2 linked regions of the Stegostoma tigrinum genome follow. The protein of the gene in region 1 purifies or fractionates together with the protein of each later gene. This does not show direct contact. Links are inferred from orthologs where the notes say so. Each region holds a gene or a part of one and is shown in the gene's direction. Other genes may lie near its edges. The genes, in order: klhl6 and nudcd3.

The links.
Region 2: the proteins of klhl6 (region 1) and nudcd3 purify together in Homo sapiens (affinity purification with mass spectrometry; 3 studies listed by BioGRID and IntAct, counting the BioPlex papers as one, with this or other methods). This does not show direct contact. The link is inferred for Stegostoma tigrinum from reciprocal best matches to the Homo sapiens genes KLHL6 and NUDCD3.

The regions. Positions count from the first base shown.
Region 1 is NC_081367.1:10,818,565-10,826,842, reverse strand, and holds the start of klhl6 (kelch-like protein 6), read left to right. Parts: upstream 1-4,408; 5' UTR 4,409-4,443; coding exon 4,444-4,703; intron 4,704-8,278. UniProt on the Homo sapiens protein: Involved in B-lymphocyte antigen receptor signaling and germinal center formation.
Region 2 is NC_081393.1:11,210,555-11,218,850, forward strand, and holds the start of nudcd3 (nudC domain-containing protein 3), read left to right. Parts: upstream 1-5,011; 5' UTR 5,012-5,172; coding exon 5,173-5,370; intron 5,371-8,296.

The DNA.
Region 1 (8,278 bases):
TTTTAGAAATGTGCTGTGCACAAGCAAGCCACAGTGGTTATTAGAGATAGTAGGAACTGCAGATGCTGGAGAATCTGAGATAACAAGATGTAGAGCTGGATGAACACAGCAGGCCAAGCAGCATCAGAGGAGCAGGAAGGCTGATGTTTTGGGCTAGATCCTTCTTCAGAAATAGACCCTTCTGAAGAAATAGACCTTTCCAAAATGTCAGCCTTCCTGCTCCTCTGATGCTGCCTGCCCTGCTGGGTTCATCCAGCTCTACACACTGGTTGTTATATTGCAACACTTCCGAAGTATGTCAGTCAATGTGAATGCTTTTGGGTAGATATCCTGAGATAGTAAACGTGCTATACAAATGCATGCTCTTTCTTTCAGATGACAGTCAACGTCTGTGGTTGCACATAAATCAAAATAGGTCACACATGTGGAACACCTATGCTCAGTTCGCGACAAACGCACCTCCCAGTTGCGAACCATTTCAACTCCCCCTCCCACTCCTTAGACAACATGTCCATCTTGGGCCTCCTCCAGTGGCACAATGATGCTACCCAAAGGTTGCAGGAACGGCATCTCATATTTCGTTTGGGAACCCTGCAGCCCAATGGTATCAATGTGGACTTCACAAGCTTCAAAATGTCCCCTCCCTGAATGCATCCCAAAACCAGCCCAGTTCATCCCCGCCTCCCTAACCTGTCCGACCTTCCTCCCACTTATCCACTCCTCCCACCTCAAGCCCCATCCCCACCTCCTAACTACCAGCCTCAGCCGGCCTCCTTGACCTGTCCATCCTCTCTGGATTGACCTATCCCCACCCTAGCTCCCCACTTACACTCACCTTTTCTGGCTCCATCCCCGCCCCTTTGATCTGTCTGTCTCCTCTCCATCTATTTTCTCCTCTATCCATCTTCGATCCGCTTCCCCCTCTCTCCCTATTTATTTCAGAATCTCCTTCCCCTCCCCCATTTCTGAAGAAGGGTCTAGGCCCGAAACGCCAGCATTCCTGCTCCTCTGATGCTGCTTGGCCTGCTGTGTTCATCCAGCTCTACACCTTGTTATCTCAAAACACATTCAGCTCTGTTCTAGCTGGAGTCAGTTCCCCCCCAGGGATGTGAGGGAGGGAATGGGAGGGTTAGTTAAAGATAATGATTTTGTGCAACACAATATTCTGAAGTAATGGAGGGAAAACGCACCATCATGTAGCCTTCCACAAATGTGACAATGATGATGTGTTATATGTTTAAGGAAAAAGTAAAGCTTGTCAAAAACATTTTAACAATGATTGAGCTTATAAATTCAAACCCTAGCCCCCAGCCCCAGGAAGGACAAGAATTGTCCATTATATCCTGAGATTTAGACTCTTATTCCGGCTTTGGTAGATGAATGTTGAGCAAAGGTTTTAAGATGTCCCATCGGAAAAGGCATAACTGAGGGGAAGGGGATTAATCTCAAAGTGAGATGGATATCTGTAATAGTTAGTGGAGCAGATCATTCTGTGGAACAATAGGCCCACTTCTCCAAACAGGACAGAGGAGGGCGGAGCTTAAAGTGAACTTCCTCTGATGCAAAATAACAACAGATCCAATGACCTGGAAAACAGCCAGAATATTAAGTGACTCTAAGAAGAGTGCTAAATTGAACTAATTGTGTGCATTTATACAGGGATATACACACACACACACACACACACACAAACACGACAATTTTTTGTCAATTTAAATCGGCTAACCAATGTAGGGAAGTGGGGAATGGTGTGTACGAGCCTTTGCGTGTGAAGTGAATTAATATCAGCAGCGATATGGTGATTAACTTATAATATCTGTTGGTTTTCCTGTTCCCCTATTGACTGGATCTTGACCTGAATTAACACATTCCAAATTTTTCCCTGAAAGTCAGCAAGTTCCAAAATCTGGCATGGCCTCAGTACTGAGGCAGAGGGATTTCGGAGAGAGTACCTTTTGTATGAGCACTGTCCTAATAGTTTTATCTTTTATCATTCTGGGAGTCTTAGTGTGTACTCAATCAAGCCACTATATTCTTCCTGAGGTGCAGTGCTCCTAGACTAAACACAATACTCCGGAAGAAAACTGATCAAGAGCCTGTAACTGTTGCACAACTTCCTTATTTTAATATTGTGACATGCTTAAAATAAACCAGATTGCTTTCATAGAATCATAGAATCCCCACAGTGTGGAAACAGGCCCTTCGGCCCAGTCCATACCGAACCTCAAAGCATCTCACCCAGACCCACCCCGCTATAACCCACCTGAACACTATGGGCAATTTAACATGGCCAAACCACCAAGCGTCTCTACCTTTTGCAGGCAACATTGAACACACAGAACATTCAAACACTCGCAGTTGTTTACTTAGCAATAATTGCCTTCAAAAAATGTATGGGGCATCGTGGAGATGATCTAGTGAATGAACTGGATTGACAGACCTGATGCAAATTTGCTGTCAAAGTTCATCAGATCACTCCCTGCACTCTGCATTGGAAATACAGAGCAGACCAATAAAGTAGGGGTTTGTAAATGCTTGATAAGTTTCATCTGCCCTGCATTTGGATAGCTGGCACTCAAGTTTCTGGCGTGGCCCATGGAATTGTTCACACTTTTACACAAATTGGAAATGGCCTTGCAATTGACAACCTCCCTGGGAAAGGTCAGAGGATAGACTATTGCAGCAGGCGGTGCTAATCTGACACTGAGGTTGGATTGAAGTTGAATTGCTGCTATTGATAACTTGCCACATCTTGTTATAACACTGTAGTGGAAGATTTACTCTATATCTGACCTGTGCTGTTTCTCACCTGGGAATGCTTCACGGAACAGTTTCTACTCTGTAGCCAACTGTGATGCATATGACCTGAGAATTTCTCAATTTTACAGTCAGCTTTACTCTGTCTCTAACTTATCCTTGTTTTAGCAACACATGACGAGACAGGATAAGGGAGTTTTATTTTATGTCGACCTTGGCTGTAACTGCCCAGGGAGTGTTTGATGCGACCGTACAAGAGATTTGCACTGTAATTAAGACTGGAAATGTTTGTTGACACAGTGTAGAGGAAGCTTCACTCAACACCCAATCTGTGGTTCTTAACTTGGGACAGTTTGATAGGGTTCAAGGGTTAAAAAGTGAAAAAATGCTCTATTTGAGTTGACATCCTATAACCCAAAAAGCATCATTTGTAAACTTGCCTCACTTTATTCCAGTGATTATATTTAGTCTGTGGATGTTGGTATGTTCGTCGAGCTGGGAGGTTTGATAGCAAACGTTTCATCCCCTTACAAGGTGATATCCTCAACCAACGTCTACAGCCAACAGCCGAAGCTACAATCTTCACTCAAATCCAGAACTATATTCAGTCTGCGCTGATTGTCTCAGGAGACTGCAATATTACACTACAGTTACATATAATGAGAATGCTTAATCCTGATTCCCTATCAGCCTGACGACTGTGTTTCAACGGGATCCATTGCCCTGTCTATTGGTCACACTTGCTGCACTAGATCCCCTCATCCTAAGACCATAAGACATAGGAGTGGAAGTAAGGCCATTTGGCCCATCAAGTCCACTCCACCATTTAAATCATGGCTGATGGGCATTTCAACACCACTTCCCTGCACTCCCCCCCCCCCCCCCCCCCCCACTCCGTAGCCCTTGATTCCTTTTGAGATCAAGAATTTGTCGATCTCTGCCTTGAAGGCATCCAACGTCCCGGCCTCCACTGCACTCTGCGGCAATGAATTCCATAAGCCCACCACCCTCTGGCGGCAGTGATATAGCTTTGCACTAGGGTTAGAATTTGTGAACTCACTGCGAGAGGCAGTGTTTGCACTTTGCAACACAATGTATGAACTTTCCAAGCCCATAGCATCAAACATCAACAAGCACCATTATCCTCCAGGAGAGATGGTGGAACATTAAAGGAATTGCGTGATGGAAAATCATCGCTGTCTTGTTGTGGACCTGCCAGAAAACATCTTATTCTGGGGAAGGCATCCCTCAGATTGGAACTGACTGTCGCATTGAGGATTCAGATCAGACACGCTCATCTTCCAAACCCTTGCTTTGCCTCTTACACCCAATGGCTATAAACGTTCTGATATTATTGGAGCTGTATCCAGTGAAGTAACTTTCAGCTCTCTGTACAGCAGAAAGGAAACTTGAAAGAGGTGCAAAAACATTTTATTATGATCATTCGATGGGCTAACAACTCCACATCAGTACAGGCAGGGGGTGAGGGGGGCAGGGGAGGATGGCGAAGAAGGAAAAAAATACGAGAAAGTGTTGCTCTTCCTGTTCTGCATATGTGTTGGTCTCTGATAAGAAGCGAGTCATGAGCAGGAAATCCGTCAAAGGGCAACATTACAACTGACTGTGAAACCTCAAAACGCTGCATCAGCCTGTGAGGAGTGGAGCAACCAGGCAGGAGTATGCGAAATGGCTGTTGTAGTGGAGAGCAGCAGCGACAAGGGCTCGAGCTGCCAGGCTGGGAAACATACCTGGGCTGTTGAGGGGCTGACAGAAAGCTCGTCAGACGGGACAGTGACTTTCAACGACACCGGCTTCTCCACTATCCTGCAGGGTGGCCTGGATGACCTCCGGCTGGACAGCTCCCTCACGGATGTTGTCCTGTGTGTGGATGACAGAGAGTTTTCCTGTCACCGGGTTGTGTTGGCAGCTGCCAGCAGTTACTTCAGGTAGGCCGAAAGCATCATTTCTTTGTTTATGTGCCAAGACTGTTGGATATTTCCTTCGGCCCAGCATCGGTGACTGTACCTTCAGTTGTCTAGGCCTGAAGTCCTGACTTCCATCTCTTAAACTCCTTTGCCTCTCCTCTGTGGACCTTTAAAAAGCTCCTTCAGACCTCCTTGTTTGACCAAACATCTGCTCACTGGCCCTAATATCTCCTTTGTGTCAACACAATTATCTGTGTCTGATAATTCCCTTGTGGGGAGTCCAAGTCTTTTTTTAACTGTATTGGAGACACTGCATAAAGGCAATTTGTTGATATTCAAGTTAAATCTTGCCATGGATATTCCACGACAATCATTTCTTTGGGACGACGCTAATTTCTGCCCAACGTTTGAATAGTTCCCGAGTTTGAGAATGTCTTTGCCAGCAACAACTTGCATTGAAATAGCACCTTTAATGTATCATCACAGCAGAATAATAGGATGGAAAAATGACACCAAGTCGGAAACAAAGGCCCAAAGCAAAGCATAGTTACAGTGATGGAGAGGTATGTTTTAAGTAGCATCTTAAGGGAGAAAGAATAGACAAAGAGCTTTGAAGGTGGTGCTGAAGCCTGTAAACCAATAAAGAGATAAAGAAATATACAGTAATAGTGCTCCAAAACCTCACTGTTCTGTGGCCAATCATTTTTACTCAAAGAAACTCTGTACCTGTCTTTCTGTTCACTGTTTAAGTGCCACAGCTGACAAATAGGAATGGCTTCAGTTATTAGTTTGTTCCTGATGTCTCAGTGTGGTATCCTATTGCTGATCTGTGATTATTGGAGCAAAACATTAGGGAAATGTGAGGATGAGCAAACATTGTCAACTTTGTGCCTCCCGAACAGGAAACAATTAAAAAAATTCATTCATTTTCATTGATTCGTTCATTTACTTGCATTTATTAGCCACGGACATTTTTAAATACCAAAGGAAAGACCCAGGAATATGCCCAAATAAAGTTGGCTACTCAATATGTGAGACAAATCACGGGCCCATTTAAAGATGCAAAAGATTGTGGGGAGTGGGCCCCTAAGATGACACAGTGTGGAGCTGGAGGAACACAGCAGGCCAGGCAGCATCAGAGGAGCAGGAAAGTTGACACTTCGGGTCGGGACCCTTCTTCAGAAATGGAGATGGGAGCTCGGAAATAAATACAGATGGTCCTGACCTGAAACGTCGACTTTCCTGCTCTTCTGATGCTGCCTGGCCTGCTGTGTTCGTCCAGCTCCATACTATGACTCCAATATCAGCCTCTGAGCCCCTAAGAAAATATGTCTTTGGCTATAGATATCAAGCTGATAGACTGACACATCTTTTCATCGCATGCAGTGTGTTGTGCTTTTACTTTAAATTTATAAAGACATAAACCATCTAACAAATTTATACATCATCAGAACTTTCAAAAGCACTAAAAAGCCAATGAGGTACTTTTGAAATGTCATCAGTGTTGGTATATATGCAGACGAAGTAGCCAATCTGTGCACAGAAAGATCACACAGGCAGCATCATTGCCACCTGTCCCTTGAATTGAAGATGACGTCAATGTATGATTGTGTGTTTCCAGCATGGGTCCCAATATGATTCACAGGCCAATTCTCAACCTACAGATCTTTGGGTACATTGGTTGGATGAGGCAGTGGGATCTGGGGTGCAGGATTTGCTTTCTTTTCTTTCCTTCTCTGCCATTACGTCACTTCGTCATTAATGTTTTCAGGCAAAAATGTGATCAAACTTGATAGAAAGATTGTTGCCATTTTGAACATATGGAAGCAATCTCCTCCCGGTCACTGATGTCAGTGATGCTGTTCCTCAAGGAGAGTTTCGGAGAGTCTTTATAGTGTGTTCTTTCCCCTTCCCTGGAACATTGACCATTCAGTAGTTGAGAAGACGGGACCCAGCAGGCGAGATAATTTCAGCCATCCACTGGACACTGAGCTCAATTCTTCACCGCTAATCTTGCTGGGGTTTCTTCTGAATGTTTGTGGAACTGGCTTCAAGAAGGACAGTAGTATTTCTTTCATAGACCTCCCATTTAATCAGGTGTATGCAGCAGAGTCTTTATTGATGGAATGTCCAGGTCCCTTGCAGCACAGAAATGTGTTGATGACAGCTGGTCCATTCATATAGACGTTTGTTAACTTGCATAGATCTTCATTGCCGATAAAACATAGGCAGCAATGTGATAATGACTGATTAATTCACTGTTGAGGGATTAACTTTGGCTTTGTGTTTTATGGAATAAATAGCAATAGCAAGTTACAGATTTCTCCCAAATTTTTGCTTGGGGACGTGTTAAAATTAGCGACTGAATCAATGACACCAATTTTACACAGAAGTCACTCTTGGTGGAGATTGAGGGATGAACATTGGTCAGGGCATCTGGAAGATACCTTTGATCTTCAAGTTGCTATAGTTCATGTGAAAGTGAGCATTTCCAATAATGTTCTTTCTCTTTGTCTTACACTGAACCAACAGGTTAGATTATGTCAACAAACCTGGACTGGGTCTTAAACCCCTTATCATTTGACTCAGAGCCAAGTAGTGCCACAAAATAATTCTTTACATGGAACTCTCAGCAGGTTATTGTGGGGTGAATGTTGATTGGTGAGTAATTCCCTGTGGGATACTATGTGGGTTAGAGACCCCAAGTAGTCATTGTCTGGGGGATAGTAACAGCTCAATGGTACCCCGTGACCAGATCCTTAACGCAAATGTCTCCCATGCCCAATGGAACAAGCATCGCAAATCACTGGAACCTCCCAACAATACCAAAAGACTCTGAAAGATGTAAAACCTATTTATGGTGTAGTCCATACCAAAGAATTTTTGAATTGACTAGAAGAAAATTCAAGTCATGGCGAATGTAAATTCACACTGTGGAGCCGTGTCCCAGAACTCATATTTGTTAGCATCTCCTGTGGCCGATTCCTGTCCATGGGAAACCATCTGAGAAGGAGTATAACCTGACTTCTCGACACCATCATCAGTCCAGGACCAGGCCCATCACTTCATTAGATAGGATTATAGAAACATCCTGCAGGTGGAATATTGAGTCCTTTGCATGGAAATCGACAGGGAAATGTTGTAAAGCTCAAAGCCACTATTGAAAGAAAGAGAGTCATTGCATTTATAATGTTCCTTTGACAAACTCAAAAATGCCATAATGCATTGTATAATACCATGGAAATGTTAAAAATTCAGCATCAGGGTACCACAAGTAACAATGTGATAATGATTTGGTTAAATGTTTTCATGGGCGTTAGTTAATATTAATCAGGATCCTAGGGAGAGCTGCTCTGGTCTTTTTCCAATAGCATCATGGGATCTTTTATGACTACCCAAGAAATGTAATATCTCAATTGAAAGCCAGCAGCCCAACAGTATGCATTGATGTGACAGCCCAGAATATGCACTGAAGTCATTGCAATGTATCAGCTCACAAAATTCAGACTCATAGGTGAGAGCGCCACTTCAAAATTGGGAAGGCGTTGGCTTAGTGATATAATTGCTGGACAGTTAATACAGAGACCCAGGCAATC
Region 2 (8,296 bases), on another chromosome or scaffold:
TAAGGTAGCACCTTTGGCTCCTTCATCAGTGAGATCTTCCCTCCATCCACAGGTCAGAGCCAGGGATATTTGGCGATGACTGCACAAAGTTAGGTGTTGTTTGTGACTCCTCAGATACTGAACTGTGTATGCTTAAATGCAACAAGATCTGGACAATATCTAGTCTTGGGCTGACAAGTGGCAAGTAACATTAACGCCAGTCATTCCAGGCAATGAACATTTCCGACAAGAGACAAAGTAATCACTTCCTTTTGACATTCAATGGTGTTACCATCACTGAATTCCCCACTATCAATTTCCTAGGGGTTACCATTGACCAGAAACTCACCTGGACTCGCCACACAAACACAGTGGCTACAAGAGCAGGCCAGAAGCTCGGAGTACTGCAGCGAGTACTCACCTTCGGACTCCCCACAGCCTGCCCATCATCTATGAAGAACATGCCAGGAATGCAATGGAATACTCCCTACTTGCCCGGATGAGTACACCTGGGATGACAATTGAGACCGCTTCCAAAATGGCGCTGGAGTGTGGTGAGTGGGGCCCAACTGCTAACACTGGATCCGCGACTGTGACAACAAAGAGATGAACCAGTTACTGGCTTTTGGAAGGCCCAACACCAGATATTGATCGGCAACCCGGCTCTGCGACCTTACCTGACCTTGTGGAGACCTGACTTTGTGGCCCAGCCAGATCGAAATCAATACACCCTCCGGTGTACCCAAGGCTGCGATCTGTGTCCATGACCCTACTGGATGCACGCATGTACCTTCTGGGATGGCAGACAATCTACACTGGCTCCTTGGGCCTGACCAGAAGCAGCCTCTTACCCAGGAAATGGGAGAGATGTGCTGGCCTGCAGGTGATGCAGTTTCAAGTTCAGTATCCCTGGCTCTGACCTGTGGATGGAGGGAAGATCTCACTGATGAAGGAGCCAAAGGTGCCACCTTATCCTGAGGCACTTGTGCAAAAGTACAAGCTGTGGAAAACAAGCTGGACGCACCGACCAAAGGGAATTGAGTGGCCTGCTGTGTGCACTCTTTTACAAAGACATGGCTCATTCCTGCTTCAACTGACTGTTTCTGAATTTTGTCAGACGGTACACACAACATCCTTGAGCAAGGCGTGGGGCACAGGGGTCTGCCTCATGATCAACGCCCCTTGGTGCTCAGATGTGATGACACTGACACATTACTGCTCCCTGAATGTAGAACAGTCAAGTGCTGTACCTACCACCTGCCATGGGAGTTCACTTCTGCTAGCCTGACAGCAGTTTACATCCGACTCCATGCAGAACTGAAGATTGCAATTGATGAAATGTACGCTGTGAAAAATAGCCTTGACACAGAATACCCTGAGGCCTTGTTCGTTGTAGCCAGCGAATTGAACCATGCTCACATCAAGAGTATGCTATCAAGATACCATCAACATATCTCCTGTCCCACTAGAGGCCCAAACACCCTTCACCATTGTGATATAATCATGAAAGGTGCCAACTCTCTAACTCCCTCCCATATTTTGGAAAATCGAACCATAAGACTGTGCACCTTTTCTCGGCTTACAAGCAAAAACTGAAGCACGAGGGCCTGGACATAAAGTTGTCTTGTGCTGGTGTGAAGTAATGGATGAGCTCCTTTGTTACTGCGTGGAATCGGTGGACTGGTCCATATTGAACATCGGTTACCAACCAAAATGATAATGCAACTACCGTCACCGACCTAATTAGTAATTGTCTGGAAGATGTTTGCCAAAGAAGTTAATCTGAGTGTTCCCCAACCAAAAACCGTGGATTAACTGGGAGATGTTCTCCCTACTGAAGTCCAGGTCTGAGGCGTTCACATCGGGTGACCCTGACCTATACAGCAAATCTAGGTACAACCCTTGAAAAGCCATCAGGGACACTAAGAGACAAAGACACCAGATTAGACTAAAGTCCCAGACTAACTGTACAACTACATGTCAATTGTGGCAAGACTGGCATGAGAAAACAGGTGACGAAGTGAAGTTGAATAGAATTGCTGGCAACATTGCAATCCTCCCTGATGAGCTGAATGCATTCTGTGCTCATTTGAAACCGACTGTCAGTGAAATGATGTGACCTGCCCTGCAGCTTCAGGTCCACCTGTACCCATAGTCACTGCTGCAAATGTCAGCTGAGCATCTTTAGGGTGAACCTATAGAAACTAACTGGCCTGGATGGAGACCCTGGCCATGCAATTAGATCCTGTGCAGACTAGCTGGCTAGACTATTCACTGACATCTTTAACCTCTCCTTACTACGATCTGAAGTTCCCACCGACTTCAAGAAGACCACTATCAGCCTGGTGCCAAAGACATAGCAGAGAGCCCGCCTCAATGACTTAACACCTAGTGGCTCTGAAATCCATCATATGAAATGCTTCGAGAGGTTAGTAATGGTACACGTCAACTCCAGCCTCCCCGACAGCCTTGATCCACTAGAGTTTGCCAACTGTCATAATAGGTCCGTGGCAAATGCCATCTTCTTAGACCGACACTGATCCCTGGAACATTTGAATAATGAGAATACCCACGTCAGGCTCTTATAGAGCTCTGCCTTCAACTAAGCCCTCAACTGCCAACCTAACTTCCAAACAACAAAACATGGGTTTCTGCTCCGCCCTCTGCAACTGGATCCTTGAATTCCTCATCCACAGACTGCCATCAGTAACAACACGTCCTCCACGATAATCCTTACTGGTGTTTCACAAGGCTGTGTACTCTGCCCCTGACTATACTCCCTATATACTCACAACTGTGTGGTCAAATTTAGCTTTAACTCGATTGACAACTTTGCTGATGACACCACCATCATGACAGAGTATAGGCAAAAGATAGACAGCTTAGTGGCATGGTGCAAAAACAACAATTTCTCTCTCTCAATGCCAGCAAAACGAAGGAGCTGGTCATCGACTTCAGGAACGGGAGTGGAGCACATGTCAGTATGTGTATTAATGGTGCTGAGGTCAAGAGGTTGAGAGCTTCAAGTGCTTTGGAGTAAATATCACCAGTGACCTATCCTGGTTCATCCATGATGCTACAGTCAAGACTGTGCACCCACACCTCAATGTCCTCAGAAGGCTAAGGAAATTCAGCAGGTCTACAATTACTTTTTCCAATTTCATAGATGCACCATCGAGAGCATTCTATGCAGGTGTGTCACAGCTTGGTATGCCAACTGCTGTGCTCAAAACTGCAAGAAATTAGAGAGAATTGTGAACGCAGTACACACTGTCACAAAAATTTAGCCTTCTCTCCATTGACTCCATCTACAGTTACCACTGCCTTGGAACAGCAGCGAGCATAATCAAAGACCACACCGGTTATACTCTCTTCTATCCTCTTCTCTCAGACAGAAGATGGAAAAGTTTGAAAATATGGACCAACAGATTCAAGAACAGCTTCTTACTTGCTTTTATTAGACCTTGATTGGACAGCTCATATATTAGAGGTCATCTTTTTCTGCATCTCCTCTATAGCTGTAACATAATATTCTGTTCTACTTCCCTCAGGCACTTGTGTGAGGTAATGATTTGCCTAGATAGCATGTAAAACAAAACCTTTTGCTATATCTCAGTATATGTGAAAATAATAAATCAAATCAAGGAGTTTCCCTACTATCCAGAACAGAGCAGCTGCCTCATTGGCACCACATCGGTAAGCATCCACTCCCTGTACCACCGATGCTCAGTAGCAGCAGTGTGTACTATCTACAAGAGGCAGAAATTCACCAACGATCCTTATAGATAGACCCTAAAGGAAAACAAAAATCTGTTTTGACCTCACAGACTTCTAAAATGTTAGCTAGTTGTTGAGAATTGTTGCAAGTTCAGAACCAATTTTATTCTTCTGTTTGCCAATCAGCAACATACTTTGTTTGGGTCTAGGCCCGAAACGTCAGCTTCTGTGCTCCTGAGATGCTGCTTGGCCTGCTGTGTTCATCCAGCCCCACACTTTGTTTCATACTTTTATATGCTCGGTCGAATCTTGCAGCTTATTTCTTCTTTGGAAAGCTATCAAATTCCCTTTGCATGGCCGTGCTGATGCAGTGGCTGTGATTTGATTTGATTTATTATTGTCACGTACTTTGGTACATTTTGTTTTGTGCGCAGTATAGGCAGATCATCACATACCAAGATCCTAGGGTGACTGAATACAGTAAGGAAGACTAAGTTACAGCCGGAAAGAAGGTGCACAAAAAGCAAGCTAAACATTGGATTTGAAATTTGAGAGGTCCGTTCAGAAGAAGCTGTTCTCGAACCTGAGATGACAAGCCATAGAGCTGGATGAACACAGCAGGCCAAGAGCATCAGAGGAGCACAAAGCTGACGTTTTCCCTCTTCACAGATTCTTCTTCACAGCTGCTTGTTCTGCCGTGTTCATTTAGCTCTTCACCTTGTTATCTCTGCTATCTCTGTTCTTGAACCTGTTGGGATTTTTGGTTAAGCTTTTGTATCTACTGCCTGAGTGTGGGAGGGCTCTTTGGTCATCTTCGCTGCATATCTGTGGCATCTTGAAGTGTATTTGAAGTCAATGGATTGAAAGTTGGCTTGCATGATGGTCTGGACTGTGCACAGTGTAGTTTCTTACGGTCCTGAGCAGAGCAGTTGCCATACCAAGCCGTGATGCATCCAGACAGGATGGTAACTATGGTGCATCTGTAAAAGTGGTTGAGGGTTTGTTATGGGCGTAGTGAATTTCCTTAGCTTCCCGAGGAACAAGAGGCATTGTTTGTGTCTCTCCTCCGACTCAGGAGGTCTGCGTTCAAATCCCACTTGTTTCAGATGAGCGTTCAAACTTCCCCGAACGGGTTCCTATAAAATCCAACTAATTCCTTTTTGAATGCAACCATTTGAACCTGCCTTCATCACCTGATACCCTCCAGACACCAGCTGCACCTCTTGTCTCCAGTCGCGTTGGCGTTGTGAGCGGGGGAAGGTTAGAGACGGGGAAACGCGGTGCCGGGGCGGGGGATGATTGTGGGTGACGGACCGGTTCCGCCGGAAGTCCCTCGGGCGAGCGGTTGGGAGGAGAGAGACGCGAAAGGAACGGGGGAAGAAAACTAAAACCAAGGAAGAAAACAAAAGGATCGAGATTATTGTCGAGTGCCCAGGGAGACCGCGGGAGTCCAGGAGGATAAGGGACGAGGCGGCCATGGACGGCCCTCCCGAGGTGACCGAGATGTACGACCAGGCGCTGCTGGGCATCCTGCAGCATGTGGGCAAGATCGAGAACTTTCTGGAAGTTTTCTTCGGCTTCCTCTACAGGAAGACCGACTTTTTCCGAGTGATGGCGCTGAAGGAGGACAGGCTGGGGTTCCCACCCGGAGTGGCCGAGAAGCTGGCCCTGAGGGTGAGTGCCCGCGGACCGAGGAGGCCCCCGCCGCCGCCAAGGCACCGGTTCGCTTCCTCTGTCGCCTCCCTCCCGACCCTCTCCGTCTCCTGCTCAAAATCAAACCCCAGGCTTTCCAGTTGTGGACCAAGACAGCCCAGTGTCAAATCTGAAAGTGTGTTCTGGTCGAAAAGCCACCCTCTCAGCAACTCTCCCTCACATGCATTTTTGTTTTTGGTTCCTTTTGCCCCTTTGAACTTAGTTGCTTCAGAGCACCAGCTGTCATCTTCCTTAAGTTCCATTATTCGGGGTTTTGTGGCATGTTGATTGTGTCCCTGCCAAAACATCTGAGTTCAAGTGCCATTTGCTGCAGTGGTGAGGGGCATTGACTGGGTGGCTAAGGAGCACCTGCTGGCCTCAGCCCAAGGGTCAAGAACAAGCGGGTGCATTGTTGCAGGAGGTTTACAGGTGGCTAGAGGAATAGTGGCAGTGGAGGTTGGAGTGCTCAGCTTGGGAGGGGAGTACAGAACGGTAACCACCCAACTTCAGGTGCGCACGCCCTGTCCAACGACACCTCGATTGCGGTTTTCAGACTCCAGAACAGATCTTTGCTTCTCCTTCAATCAAATGTACCCCAGTCCAATTCTCCAGGGGTTTTCTGTTTCACTCTAATTCTGGTTCTTGCATGTCTGATTTTAGTTCTAGTCATGCCCATGTGTCTTCAGTCATGTGGACCTGAAGCACTGAAGTGTATTGAGTTGGGATCCTAGTGTCTCTGACTCGCAATCTTGTTTTTTTTCCTCGTTCAGTAACAGCTTAAAATCTACTTATCTTAATCAAGATCATGGGTGGCTCAGTGGTTTGCACCATTGCCTCACCGTGCCAGGGACCTAAGCTTAATTCCACCCTGAGGTGACTGTCTGTGTGGGTTTCCTCCCAGACTCCAAAGGTCCTCAAGTTTTGTGGGTTGGCTATGTTAAATTGTCCGTTCTGTTACGGGATGTGTAGGTTCAGTGCATTAGCCAGAGAAAACAGAGGGTTCCATGGATTGGGTAGGGGTTTGGGTCTGGGTAGGATGCTCTTCGGAGGTTCAGTGTGGACTTATTGGGCTGAATGGCCTGTTTGCACACTGTAAGGATTCTATGACTTGTCATGTGACTTGGTGTCAGATGAAGCTGAAATTGCTCGTGAAAGAGCTTGGGATACTCCACCAAGTTAAAGGCACCATACCAGAACTCAATGGCTTCAGCCAATTCAGTTGACCATCCTGGCCTTGTGCCAATACCAGCTCAGTCAGCCCTGACTGGATGACCTTTGACCTTCCTGGGATTTGCACTTTTAAAATTATTTACAGAATCAACACAAATGGACAGAGAATCTAAGTAAATAGTGCTCCGCGGTGAGGAGCACAGAACTGCACACAGTAACCAGTTGAGTGACTTTTTGATAACTTGTTCAAAAGTGGTTGAGTTCAGAAGAATTTCATTGTGAGATGCCAGAAAAAAGTGACTTTCAGGAGTAATGCTGATCTAATGCTGTAATTAGTTCATGGACAGAATGAAACGTGAACAGCAGCACAGCTTGCTTGTTAAAAGCAAAATAGTGTGGATGTTGAAAATCTGAAATGAAAACTTAAATTGCAGGAAAAATTCAGCAGGTCTGGCAACGTTGGTTGAGAGAGAGAAAAAGTTTTTTAATGTTTTTTTTCTTTGACTTGAGTCGTTCAGAACTGTCACACTCAAAGTTCATTCTCCCTCTGTGCATTCGCTGCCAGACCTGCTGAGTTTGTCCAAAATTTTCTGTTTTTCCTTTGGATTGTTAAGATGCAGGTGTATTTTATGAGACCTGAGTGTGCCCACAATTGCTTTTCAAAATGTGGTGTTCGGCTTCGTGCCCATTTCTCAAAGAGTGACAGGGATACAACGTCTATAACAATGAGAATTAGTTTTTCAACATCTCAACTGGTCAGTTAATGACAACAGTGAATCTGCTGGTAAGTTATTTTGATCGATGGACATGATACGTGTGGAGCTGCGAAGTGAGTCATTGTCGGGAGGGCATTGCACAGTCTGCATTGCCTTCAAGCTCACAGTCTTCCAATCCCACACGGCCCACTTCCAGTTTCTTCCCAAAGTCCACAAACATGATGTTTCTGCTGGCTGTTGCCCGATGGAACTTAATGTCTTCATGCTTTTGACTCACTTTTTTTGCCCTTGTCCAGTCCTTTCACTTGGATTGTTCTGATGCTTTCTGTCTGTTTTAGAATTTCCGTTTTGCCGGCAACAGTGGCATCCTCTTGACCGTGGACATGCAATCCCTTCACATGTTCATTCATGATCAGATTGTCTTCGGGCTTTCTGCTTCTTTATGGAGGCGCTGAACCATTCCCATCTTCCATCACCACCCTCCTCCACCTGATTGAGTTCATCCTGGCTTCAAACAACACTTACTTAAATTCCTGTCTCTTTTTTCAGATCAAAAGTATGGCTGTGGGTACGTGCTTGGGCCCCAGTGATGCCTGTCTCTTTGTTGGTTACTTGGAACATAATTTTTCGTGTCTGAATTGGGGACCCCACCCACAACATTTTCTCTCGTACATGGCCCGTACATCATTGGCGCTGCATCCCTCTTTCTCCCAGAATTAGAAAAAAATGATCAGTTTGGCTTCCAGTTTCCACCTTACTCCCATCTTCACTTGGTCTCTCTCTGACTCCTGCCTTCCCTTCCTCGTCACCCCTGTTTCCATGTCTGGGGATAGACTAGCCACCAATATCTGGAATAAAAGCAGATTTCCATGTCAAAAGAGAAAGTTGACTTTATGTTTTGGGTGCAGTCGCTTTCAGTGCACCCAATCCATCTTTACCTACTCATTTTCCTCCTTATCAGCTTTTCCACTTCCCTCGCTTACTATAAGACCATAAGACATAGGAGTGGAAGTAAGGCCATT